Caenorhabditis elegans: one gene and its partner. The protein of the gene in region 1 purifies or fractionates together with the protein of each later gene. This does not show direct contact. Each region holds a gene or a part of one and is shown in the gene's direction. Other genes may lie near its edges. The genes, in order: M28.9 and sup-46.

Evidence for each region.
Region 2: the proteins of M28.9 (region 1) and sup-46 fractionate together in Caenorhabditis elegans (co-fractionation; one large-scale study listed by BioGRID). This does not show direct contact.

Annotation. Positions count from the first base shown.
Region 1 is NC_003280.10:10,637,577-10,643,887, forward strand, and holds M28.9 (Prominin-like protein), read left to right. Parts: upstream 1-1,833; 5' UTR 1,834-1,926; intron 1,927-2,188; 5' UTR 2,189-2,206; coding exon 2,207-2,431; intron 2,432-2,478; coding exon 2,479-2,661; intron 2,662-2,708; coding exon 2,709-2,865; intron 2,866-2,971; coding exon 2,972-3,132; intron 3,133-3,182; coding exon 3,183-3,341; intron 3,342-3,569; coding exon 3,570-3,653; intron 3,654-3,701; coding exon 3,702-3,860; intron 3,861-3,910; coding exon 3,911-4,031; intron 4,032-4,077; coding exon 4,078-4,300; intron 4,301-4,419; coding exon 4,420-4,606; intron 4,607-4,674; coding exon 4,675-4,857; intron 4,858-4,903; coding exon 4,904-4,984; intron 4,985-5,029; coding exon 5,030-5,248; intron 5,249-5,399; coding exon 5,400-5,494; intron 5,495-5,541; coding exon 5,542-5,758; 3' UTR 5,759-5,803; downstream 5,804-6,311. Other genes in the region: M28.4 (Protein tweety homolog), read left to right, coding at 6,127-6,311.
Region 2 is NC_003279.8:10,169,086-10,174,622, reverse strand, and holds sup-46 (RRM domain-containing protein), read left to right. Parts: upstream 1-2,019; 5' UTR 2,020-2,055; coding exon 2,056-2,134; intron 2,135-2,213; coding exon 2,214-2,500; intron 2,501-2,567; coding exon 2,568-2,783; intron 2,784-3,498; coding exon 3,499-3,600; intron 3,601-3,648; coding exon 3,649-3,888; intron 3,889-4,255; coding exon 4,256-4,504; intron 4,505-4,557; coding exon 4,558-4,749; 3' UTR 4,750-4,984; downstream 4,985-5,537.

The DNA of each region.
Region 1 (6,311 bases):
GCAGAAACTAAACCACACAAAATTCGTTGCTCACTTCCTGGCGAACCGACCGACGAACAAAATACTAGGAACTGCTGCACCAAAAATCTGCAAATCGGAGGAAGAGCTCCCTCGTGAAACCCGGACTGAGCTTGCCAGACTGCGCTGTGGCCACTCAAGATTATGTGGTTCTTACGTTGCCAGAATTGAAAACAGAAGCATTTCCCCTTGCAGGAAATGTGGAAGTGTGGAGGGTGGCGTGAATCACCTTTTGACCTGCATCTCCTCGGTCCCTCTGCTCCCAAAGGACCTGTGGGAGAAGCCGGTGGAAGTGGCCGAGGCCCTGGGCCTCTCCACGACCCCCTTCGACCCCGGAGGAAACGGAACCACCCCTCCATAAAACACGGACCAAGGATTTTTGAATTTGCACAACAACAACAGGAGCACCCATCGCCTAATTTTGCTAAATTCAATACTTATGAGGTATTTTAAATAATGATTTACTTTAAAACGAAATTCCTACACTATCAAAAACTTTTTAGTTTTTTAGATTGCGAAGAAACTTTTGAATGATAACGCTGAACAAGCCAAATCTGCGAATCTGGCTATCTGTGACAACAATAATTTAGATCAAACGTTTATTGCATACTCGGAATCTCTTTCCATGTCCCACTTACTTTCCCAGCAATTTGTCAAAAAATTAGAGACTCTGGCAGAAAATGCTCCGAAAACGGTGGGTACAAATGCGTTTCAACTTTATGAGCACTTGTGTTTCAGCCATCGATTGCAAAAGATCTGAATAAAACTTATTTCACTAAAACGGAAGCAATTTTGAAACAGGCTGTTACCAAGCTTTTTGTGGGTTGATGATTTCATTTATGCAATTTATTTAATCAGTAAATAATTTTCAGAAAGCCCTGCAAGATGATATTTTCAAGTGTCGCCCGTTAGTAGATGTCTACAATAATGCAGGGATTTCAGTTTGCGAGCAATTTGGATTACCAGTTCATGGAATGTGGGCATCGGTTGGCTTGGGTGGTGTTGTGCTATTCTTCCAAATAATTTTATTGCTTCTTACTTTTCGTTGGTTGAGAACTCATAGCAAGAATACTGTTGGCAAGAATGGAAAAAGTGATAAGGTTCGTTTTTTTTCAAATTTTGGCAATTACCGGAAGCTGTTTCAATTGTAACACTAAATACCATAGATTATTGTATATTTTCTTATGTTGATAGCGATAGTCTACATAGCTTGACTGCTCAATAATCTTGCACTCCATATTGTTTATTGGTTGAACCCGAATACAACCAAAATACGAGAAATCAAATCTTTAACACCATGAAGCTAAATTATTGAATAGTTCCTGAATCTGTTTTGAAACCTTAACTTTAGGTTTGCCAGAACCGCGCCCGTCAGTTAAAATATTTCTGAAAATTATAAAGCAAAACACTAATTCTTTACAGACGGGGACATCAGGCTCAATGGAAAAGGCTGGCTCGAAAGAAAAAGACAAAAAGAAAAAGAAGAAAAAAGATAAGGCAAATCCGACTGACAAGTGATTGCCACTCCCGAATTCAAAATATTATAGCTATTATTTCAGAGGATCCGTCGAAAAAACTAAATCGAAAGAATCCGATGGAGATCCTAATAAAGATGTTACGCCAGATAAGATTCCCGGAAACAATAAAAAAGGGAGCACACTCGACATCGAGCCGATCTGGTGAATTTTAATGTCCAGTATGAATAAACGATGCTTTTTTTTTGAAATTAATTTTAATAAGATTTGAAAAATAATTAACGTGATAAACAGAAATCATGAAATGTGTGATTTTTTTGTTCCCGTGAGAAAAAAAATCACATGTAAGAATTCAACAGTTTTCAATCATTAATCGATCTTATTCGACTTCGAACAAGTTTCCTTATCATTATCCCAGCATTTTCATCAGAAGGTAAGTGGTTGTTGCAGATGGTTTTCAGATACGGGTTTAGCGCCGTACTATCTACACACAGTAATGCTTTGCTGCCTTTAAATTAAGAATACTGTATTACTACAAAGCACTGTAAACTGCAAGCTATGGCTTATGAATTGGATTCCCGAATTATAAAAGGACACTAAATAGGTTGAAACCCGAACCATCTGAAAGGCAGAGCACAAATAAATCAGTCAAAAAAACGTACAGCTTCAAGTCGACAAATCTCATGAAATTCCAGATCGCGATTGATTGGAAAATGAAACTTCGTTTGTTTGTTGGCTTCATAGCCCTGATCTCGATTGCTTTTTGTGCTAAAAGTCCGAAGCCTCAAGCATCAGGACCAGCACCAGCTCAATGTCCAAAGTCTTCTGTGGAAGTTAAACCGATGAAACCTGAACTAACAGGATCTGTCGGATTTTATGGAACTGGCAAAGGAATTTCAGATAGTCTGCAGAAAACTCCAGATTCGAAGTCTTATGAGGTAAGGGGGGGCTTTCTTGTGCCACTATCATCATAATGTTATTTCAGGATTTGAATAACCTAATTAGTGGAAAAGAATCCTACGGGGAAACCCTTAAAAGTATGATTCTGAGCCAAGTCACTGCAATCGTCTTCTGGAGTGTTGGAATCGTTTTGATCATTATTGCAGCTGCACTTTGCATCGTAACTTGCATTTGGCAGTGTTGTTCTACGTGTGCTCCCAGAGAATCTGTAAGGACTTCAAATTTACTTGCATCTTCAATTCATAATAATTCTAGGCGGTCCGCTCTGAATACACTGGAATGGTATACCTTGCTCTGTTGGCTACCACTCTTGCGTTCACCCTAGCAGGTGTTATAATTTTCAATCTCGCGGAGACTGACTTTGTCGATACTGTTGATAATGGAGTGAAGTACGCCAATCAGCTCACCTCAGGTAACATACATTCAAAAGACCTCGTGGAGCTTGAAAATCAGTAGATTCTTTCTGACAGATCATTTAAACTTGTATCACATTCCACGTTAATTTTTCAATTATTCAGACATGTCGAATGTTTTTTCGAATGGAAAAAATCAGTTGACATGCGAAGTGAAATCTTCAACATCACAAGCATTCGCTGAAATCCGATCGTTTATAAGGAACTATGAAAGAGATGTGACTGATAAAGCTGCGACACAAGTTGGATTAACTGCTGTCAACAAGGTTAGACGATTCGAGTCAGCTATATGATTTTTCATTATAATACTTTTCAGTTCGATGTTGATGCATTCGTAAAGAGTACTAGTGATACCGTTGAAAAGGGAGAGAAGTTGAACGCTGCACTTGCTAATATTAATAATCCTTCTTCGGAATGTAAAACGAGTGCCAACGAGTTGAAAGCTAGAGTTTCAGCAATGGGTATAGCCTTAAAAGTGAGAGTTTCCTTCGATTTTGGGGAATTTTGATCAAGACTATTGAAATGCTTTCGAGTATATCAACAAACATTCAAAGATTTCTGGAATTTATATCAGCAAACACTACCTTCCGCAGTGCTACATTTTCTGAACAGTTCCATCACTGAATACAGCTGCTATGAAAGACTTTTTCCTTATTTTTTAAACGGAATTGTTTCCAATCTAGTTTCACCATTTCAACTTCAGGGTCTATCAACCGCTGCAGACACAGTGATGGGGTCGAGCGAATTGGACAGTGTTAACAAAATGGTCGATGTGATTAAAGCTGAGGTTTGTAGTAATTTTGTGATTCAAGAACTAAGTTATTTTTAATTTAAGATTAAATCTCAATCTAGAGGTGCTGGTAGTGTCATTGATAGTGCTCAGAAATCAATCGACGACACTACGAATTCAATTGTAGAATTTCTGGATCAGGTTCAACACCAAGTTGAAGAAATAAAGAAGTCAATTCCTAAATATCACGAGCAAATTGCTGGCGTGAGTGAAGAAACGAATAAATTTTTAAACAGAAAATTGTATAATTTCAGTACAATTCCTTCAGTACGGTGCTTGGAATTCGTCTTGGTATCATTATTCCGGCCGCCATGGGATGTATCTATTGCATCGTTGCAATTGTCGCTGTGATTCTTTCGTTGATAAAACAGGACGGTAAGATTGATGGACACCAGTAAAAAGGATCAGTTTTAATATTTAGGTGTGGCACTGAAGCTCTCTAGATTTGTCATCGATGGCTTTTTCTCCTCAATCACTGGCTCCATTACACTTCTAGGATTTGCAATGTTTGCATTTGCATTGGGATTAGTGGTGTCATCGATATGTGTTCCAGTTTTTGAAGATGATAACTACACTTTGTTCCGTCAAATGAATGTTCCGATGCCTGCAGCTGACAATAAGACTAAAACATCCATCAACATTGAGTGAGAAATTTAAATATACAGTTTTGGCAGTTGATTTTTTGTCCAAGTCACTGAAAAAGTGGGTTGATACCAATAATTTTTTCAAATTTCTAAAAGAGTGGAAAAGATCCTTTTTCCAGTCAGTTACTTGAGTCTTGCAACAATCCAAGCATGACCTTGTACAAAGCGATTGATGGAAAAAAGTTGATATCTGAGGAGGCTATGAACAAACAGATTAACCTGAATAAGTACCGAGACATGGCTGATAAGAAGATCAGTGAGCAACCAAAATCGGATTTTAAGCTTCCTCAAGCAACGAATTATAAGGTATTTTCATTCATAAATTACACATTCATCATGATGGGGTAGTTTCCAATTAGAAATAAAAATTACAGAACCATATGAAAGCTGTGAACGATAACGCTAAAAAAGCACAATCAGCGGATTTGTCAAAGTGTAAAGACGCTGATTTGAATAAACAGTTCAAGGAATATGCTGCTTCTCTCAAAAAATCTCAAGCACTTTCCAAGCAGTTTATAGACAACTTGGCAAAACTGGCAGAAAACGCACCAAAGACGGTGTGTTTAGGTTTTTTCTAGATTTTCGGAAACTTTTATGTTTCAGTCTACAATTGTAAAGGATCTCAACAAGAATTATTTCACTAAAAAGGAAGCGGTTTTGAAACAGGCAGTGACCAAGCTTTTGGTAGGTTTTTCTTGACAGTTGTCTTAATCAGTAATTCATTTTCAGAAAGCTCTGCAAGATGATATTTTCAAGTGCCGTCCGTTAGTAGATATCTACAATAATGCAGGTGTGCTGGTTTGTGAGCAAGTTGGATTGCCAATTCATGGATTGTGGGCTTCAATTGGTTTGGGTGGAGTCGCAATGTTCTTCCAGATTATTGTATTGCTTCTCACTTTCCGTTGGTTGAGTACTCATAGCAAGAAGAGTGCTGGGAAAAGTGATAAGGTTCGTTATTCATTCAGCTCTAAGACTTAAAGTTGGGAGCTTATAAGTGAATACTCCATCTGTATTTCGTTAAAAATGTTTTACTTATGAGACCTCTAGAACTATCACTATAGTGAGCATAATCTAGAAATTCAAACATAGCTTTTTACAGATGTTAAAGTCAAAGGAGTCGAAAGAAAAAGAAGAGAAGAGCGAGAACAAGGACAAGAAAAAGAAAAAGAAGAAGTCGAAGAAGGACAAGGAAGAGTGAGTAAACTTGCATACTAGCCAGATTATTATAATCGACTTTTCAGAGAAGGCTCTGCCGAAAAAGCTGATGGAGATGCTAACAAGAATCCTCAAGATCCTGCTGCACCAGGTGAAATTGGAAGAAATGGATCAGCTGAAGCAGGGTCTCAACCGACATCAGTAGAGGGTAAATCTGATGCAGCTGAAGGTGCTTCTCCAATGGCCCCAGGAAACGGAAAGAAAAGCGCCGTGAACACGCTTGACGTTGAGCCAAAATCGTAGAACTTTTTCCTTATTATTGATCGATATGAATGAATGATTCACTTCTCTGATTTTGTCTTTTTGTAGGCACATAAGCTTTTTCAATAGATGCTCTTGCTACAGCTATATATTTTCCTTTCTACAAGCAATCTATACCGTACTAGACGGAGGAACTCCCGCAGTCGGATCCCAACCAAAACTTGGCTCTCCAATAAAAAAGTAATTGGAAATTTTAAAATTTTCACGTGTTACACAGAGACGACCTTATGAGCAACAAGCTATAGCTTGTATACAACGTAAATCTTAGTTTTTTCCACGAATCAGTATCAACTTATTTCTTTATTTCTTCGTTTTGCAAATCCATATTGTATTCAACGAGTGGAATAACAATGAAACATTGCTTCATGATAATTGGTATTTTCGTTTTCAACGTCTCAGCTCAAACACTTCAACCACAAGAAACATGCGGTCAGCCAGCACTGAAGATCAAGGCTATCCATCCAGAATTCGGAAGTGCCACTGGATTTTATGGAATAGCGAAAGGAATGTCGGACGGAGTGCACACAAATCCAAA
Region 2 (5,537 bases), on another chromosome or scaffold:
GACCACTTCGACAAATCTTGTTTGCTTTGATCTTCTTTTTTTGCAAACCGAAACTACAGTCACTATAGTTGTACTTTGTAGACATCTAGAACGTTTCCGAGCAAAATACAATAGAAACAATAGCAAAACAAACATATAGTCTTCTCAATCAGGGCACTAGGTCTATTTTCATAAACATATATAATCATATGACTGAAATAAAATTGGAATTTCGATGTCTTGTTGTAGAAACTTCACGCTAAATTTGAAACAGGGGGAAAACAAATCTGTTGACCGAAGAGATGAGTGGAACACAAATCTATTCAATAAATAAACCTACACTGGTTAAAGATGAAAAATTAAAAGTTCGAGTTATAGATCGAAATAAAAGGTGATTTCTGGTATTTCTCACTTCCCGGGCGTAAAAGGTCATAAAAGACCTTTGCCCTTCTCAACCTAGTGCGAATTGTTCTCTTGACGGCGGCAATAAACGGCAGGTAGTTTTGCATTTAAAATGAAACGAGGCACGATTTTTGTCGTTAACATAAGACCAAGATTTCAGTTCTATCAATAATAAAATCTAGTGTAAGGAATAAAAGTGAGGGAAATGACGGCGATTGGGAAAAGACTAACTAGTTCCATGCGATTACTGTTCGACATGGTAGAAGGCGTCGGCTTTTAAATGTATATACGATTTGATATTCGTATGGTGAAACCTAGAGGAATAGAAGGGAGAGACATGGTCATCGGCGGGAAAAGAGAAAGAATAGGGAAAACACGTCATGAAGTGTATATGATAAGACATTTGGGACGATTGGAGCAATATCAGAAACTTTATATGGACGTTAGTCATTTGGAATGTGACTTGTGAACGATAGTTTGAAATGTTGGTGTTGAATCACCTATTCTATAAACATTTTGAATATTTTTGGACAGCTAGCGCATGAATTGTGAAAAAAAAACAAAAACGCGTTGTTATAGAACTTGAAGCAAAACTAAATTGTACAATTATTAATAATTTTTAGTGTGAAATTGAGAATAAATCTGTCATGCGGAGGCAAAACAAAACGAGAGGCAGCTTATCTCACAAAAAACGTTTTCTATTCTTTCTCCGAAATTTGACACTGAATTCAGTTCATAAAAATCCTATTGACAATTAACGAACAAAATTATTTTTAGGGAAACATGGAAGAAACAATTGAAGAATAAAATAAATTATAGAATAGAGTGTTTCAAAGAGAACAGAGATCTTGTTTCACAGAACCATGCTATCGAAAATGAAAAAAAAATCGTAAAAGATCCAGAATACTGGCTTAGCAGCAAAGAAAAAGCCTTCACTTTTCGCGGCGATTTGTGGCGTCAAATCTGATGTCGGCTGTGCGGCTCGTCTCGACGCACAAATGCACACTTGTGTTTGCCGCCGTCTCTTCTTTTCGAATTTCGATTTTTCTCTCTTTTATCGTATTTATTTTTCTTTATTTTCTTCGTTAAATCAAACGTTTTTTTGTTTTAAAATTTGCTAAATGGTTCTCGCGGCTTAAATATGCATTATCAGTCGGAAAATCTCCAAGATGTTTCAGAGAATTGCTCCGATAGATAAATTTCGAAATTGTTCCTCTTTTTGAAAACTTAATTTTCGGTTCGGGAATTTTAAGAGAGTTTAGAGCATTCTAGTCTTTCTGTAAGATATCAAGTCAAATTTTGCTCGAGTGGCCTATTTGTAAGTAAAGAAGCAAATAAGGTGCGATCACAAAACTTTTTACTCATCTGTGCATAAGTTTTCGATCATTGTTGTAACATAGTTTTTCAATTCGATGTCAAATCAAGTATTACATTGGCGAGACAGTTCAGTAAATAATCTTTTATCTCTTTCAACAATAAAAATGGGCCACTCAGCGAGCAGATTATTTTAGTTACAATTAATTTTCGACTTGTTAGCAATCAAAATGGAAATAAAATTTCAATTGTTTTTTAAAGAAGCCCGTTGTTATATGAAAACATTTGCTTATCGTCTAATTGATTCTAGTTCAACTCATTCAGAAAGCTTAATCCAAGATCCGTGTTCCATCAGCCAACATGAACAGAAATCGTCGAGACGGACCACAGCGTGATGTTAAGCGAGAGCGTCGGAGCCGATCCAGAAGTCCAAGAAGAAGTATAGTTTTTGATATTCTTCATTCCCGTTTCCACCATTTTTTCCATAGAAATCCTTCTCTATTTTCCATTTCCTTAAGGTCGTATCGGCGCTGCTGTTGGAAGTAACAATGGGAACTCATCATCGAACAACCGAATGGTTTTTATCACCAATATCGCCTATGAGGCTCGTTGGGTCGATTTGAAAAGTCTAGTTCGCGAGAAAGGAGGTGAAGTCGCTTTCTGCGAGTTGCTCGAAGACCGTAACGGCAAGCCAAAGGGTAACGCTGTGGTTGAGTTCGAAACTCGTGAGGGTGCCGAAAAATGCGTTGAGAATCTACAAAAGTTCGACTGGAAGGGAAGAACCATCATCGCCAAAGAAATTCGGGTCCGTATCTATTTAATTTTGACACTCACATTCAGAAATTTTCATCCATTTTTTATTTTTTCTGTAGGATCCGAATGCTTTCTTCCGAACCATCAAAACTGAAACAGGCATTGATTACTTGTCTCGTACCGGAGGTGGTGGTGCAGGAGGACGAGGTCCTCCACCAAAAGATCTTGATCGCCCTACTCGAACTGGAACTTATGATTTATTCGGTCTCAATATGGAATTCCTTCGCCAACACAACATTGAACCGCCACTCTGTGAGCGCATCTTCATCGCCAATGTAGGTTTCAAATATTCTTCTTCTCGAAGGGCTCCACATCTAGACCACGTTCACTTGCTGGGTCTTTATCTCAGTTTTGAGATATGAAATTATTCGAATGGGAGAAATAAATGCAATTTTTCATTTTGGTGTTTTTAAACGGAATAGTAGTAGGAAGCTTTCTACGTGGAATTATATACAACAAAATGGAATCAGTGCTTATTATAGTTTGTTCAGACAGTTGCATCCTCCGGGTAGATCTCTCAGTATCATACGAATAAAATATAGCATCACTAATTCAGTTACTAAATACCATTCTTAGTTCCCAATCAGAGGTGGTTGGCAATTATTTTCGGAAATGCTACAAAATGACCTATTGCGACATGTTTTTTTCAAAAGTTTTCATCAAAAATTAGTCTGAAAATGTAGATAATCACTTGATTTATCTGAAAATTAAAAAAAAATTATCTCGTTTTAAACATTTGGAAAAGTGCGCGAAAATGACCAAAAGTTGCCATTTGCCGAGAAACGATAATTCAACAATTTGATGATCGGCAATTTGCAACATCCTGGTATTTTTGAAGCGCTTTTCCAAGTGTTTTATCTGAAATAAGTGTTATTTTCAGATTTAAAAAAGTGATTTTCTATATTTAACATGGCGAAATATGTCATTTTATAGAATTTCCGAAATTCCACTTCTGTTTCCAAGACAATATTATTAATCAAACATTTTCAGTTGGCTTTCAATGTCGGAACCGATAAGCTTTACGAAGTCTTCGGTATGGCCGGTAAAATCACCTGGATGGACTTCCGCATTGATAAAGAAGGAAAGTCAAAGGTTTGTTAATATTTATAGTTCCTATAAAATATAAATGGTGTCTTCCAGGGAGTATGCGTAATTCAATACACTCACCCAATTGAAGCCGTACAAGCCGTTTCGATGCTCAATGGTCAGCGACTTTTTGATCGAAATCTGGTTGTGAAAATGGATAGATTCGATAAGGAACTGGAGCACAAAGAAGGTGGACTTCCACGAGGTCTTGAGTCAATCGGAATGGGTCTTGGAGCAGAAGGAGCACCACTTTCCAATGTTCATGGAATGTTCCCAGGAGATGCTTCAGTGCCGGTAAGCGATTTAAAACAAATTTCATCGGTGTGGTATATACTAGCATTCAATGGTGGTTTTAGATTTTTTTAAATCGAAAAATTAATTTTTTTTAAACAGAAATTTTCGGGTTTCCAACATTTTGATTTTTCGAAAAATGGCCTTTTATAAGAAAACGATATGTTTTCTTATGTTTTTCCCCATCAACAATCTGAAAACTTAATACAAAAATGGGTTTTTATATTCCAATTTGCTAAACATGTTTTTCGATTTTCAGAACAAACGGAACTTTCTCTGAAAAAAGCACAAAAAATGTTCGATGAAACTCTTGATAACAAATACTCAATTATAAAATTTTTAAAAGTTAATTTAATTATCTATATTTCAGTTCACAGCTCCAGCTGCCCCATTCGTAGGTGGACCACAAGTTGTTTCGGCTGGTGGTTTTGGAGGAGTCGTTGAACAAGCCAACTTTGCCCGATCCGTCATGAACAATGGACCATTTGGAGGAAATGCTGGTGTTGGTGGTGCTGGTGGAGCCACATTTGCTCAACCTGACGTCTTTGGTGTCAATGGAGCTGGTGGACTCGCCGGTGCTGCGACACCCCAGGCAACAAGGGTTATTATCATTCGCAACGTAAGTTTTCAATTCAAATTTCAATTTGTTCTCATTTATGATCTGTTATTCAGCTTCCAAGCGATTATACCTGGCAAATTGTCCGTGACCGTGTTCGAAACTTCGGAGAAGTCGACTCTGTTGATATGATGGCGCCAGGAGCTGCTCGCATTCGTTTTGCAACTTTCCAAGACGCTGAACGTGCTCGTGCTGCCCTCTATGGATCCACTGTCGAAGGCCGCATGATCAGCGTTGACTACGCCTAATTCATTCCCCCTGTTATATTTGTATTTGAAACTTCTCACGTTTCTCTTGAATCATCATCTATTATCTTTATTTTATCCGTTTTTTCTCCATCTCTATCCTTCCTTATCCCTTTAAAAAGGCTTCCTTGTCAACGGAATCTCAATAATTTAAAACATCTTCCTCATTTTCATCACTCTAAAACTATTTCTCATATTTTCCTCTGGCAGGATGGTGACAAATAAAAGTTTTAATAATAAATGACGTGACAAGTGTGTCTTCAGATGAGCGCCGCACAATTTGAGGTGCTATTCAGAAGACAATTTAGCATGTGTGTCCCGCATCAAACAAGAGCTTCACGCAATCTGATTTGCGCGCGACAACTGCTGCTCAAACGTTTTACCGTATGCCCTTAATTGCGTTTTGAAGACGTCTCTCTCCTTCATGAGCAAAAGATAGTCACGCCCATGAAGAATCCTTTGTTGCTGAGAAAACGATGATGAGCATTGTGTGTGTCTATTTGTATGCTCACAACTTTCTTTCGTTTGTCTATGTTTTCATTTTTGACGCCTTTCTCTGGATTACGGTACCTTGAGGCTTTTGGAGAAGGATTCTGAATTCTGCTTTATAACGAGTACTGTTATATCAATTTTTTTAAAAATTAATTGTTTTTATTTCAAAACCGGCAATAAAAAATTTTGGCACCAAAAATACCGTTCCTGGTCTCGTCACGACAATTTTTTGTTAAATACAAACGGGTGTGCGCCTCAAAGAGTACTGTAGTTTCAAAATTTTAGATATATCCGTTAAA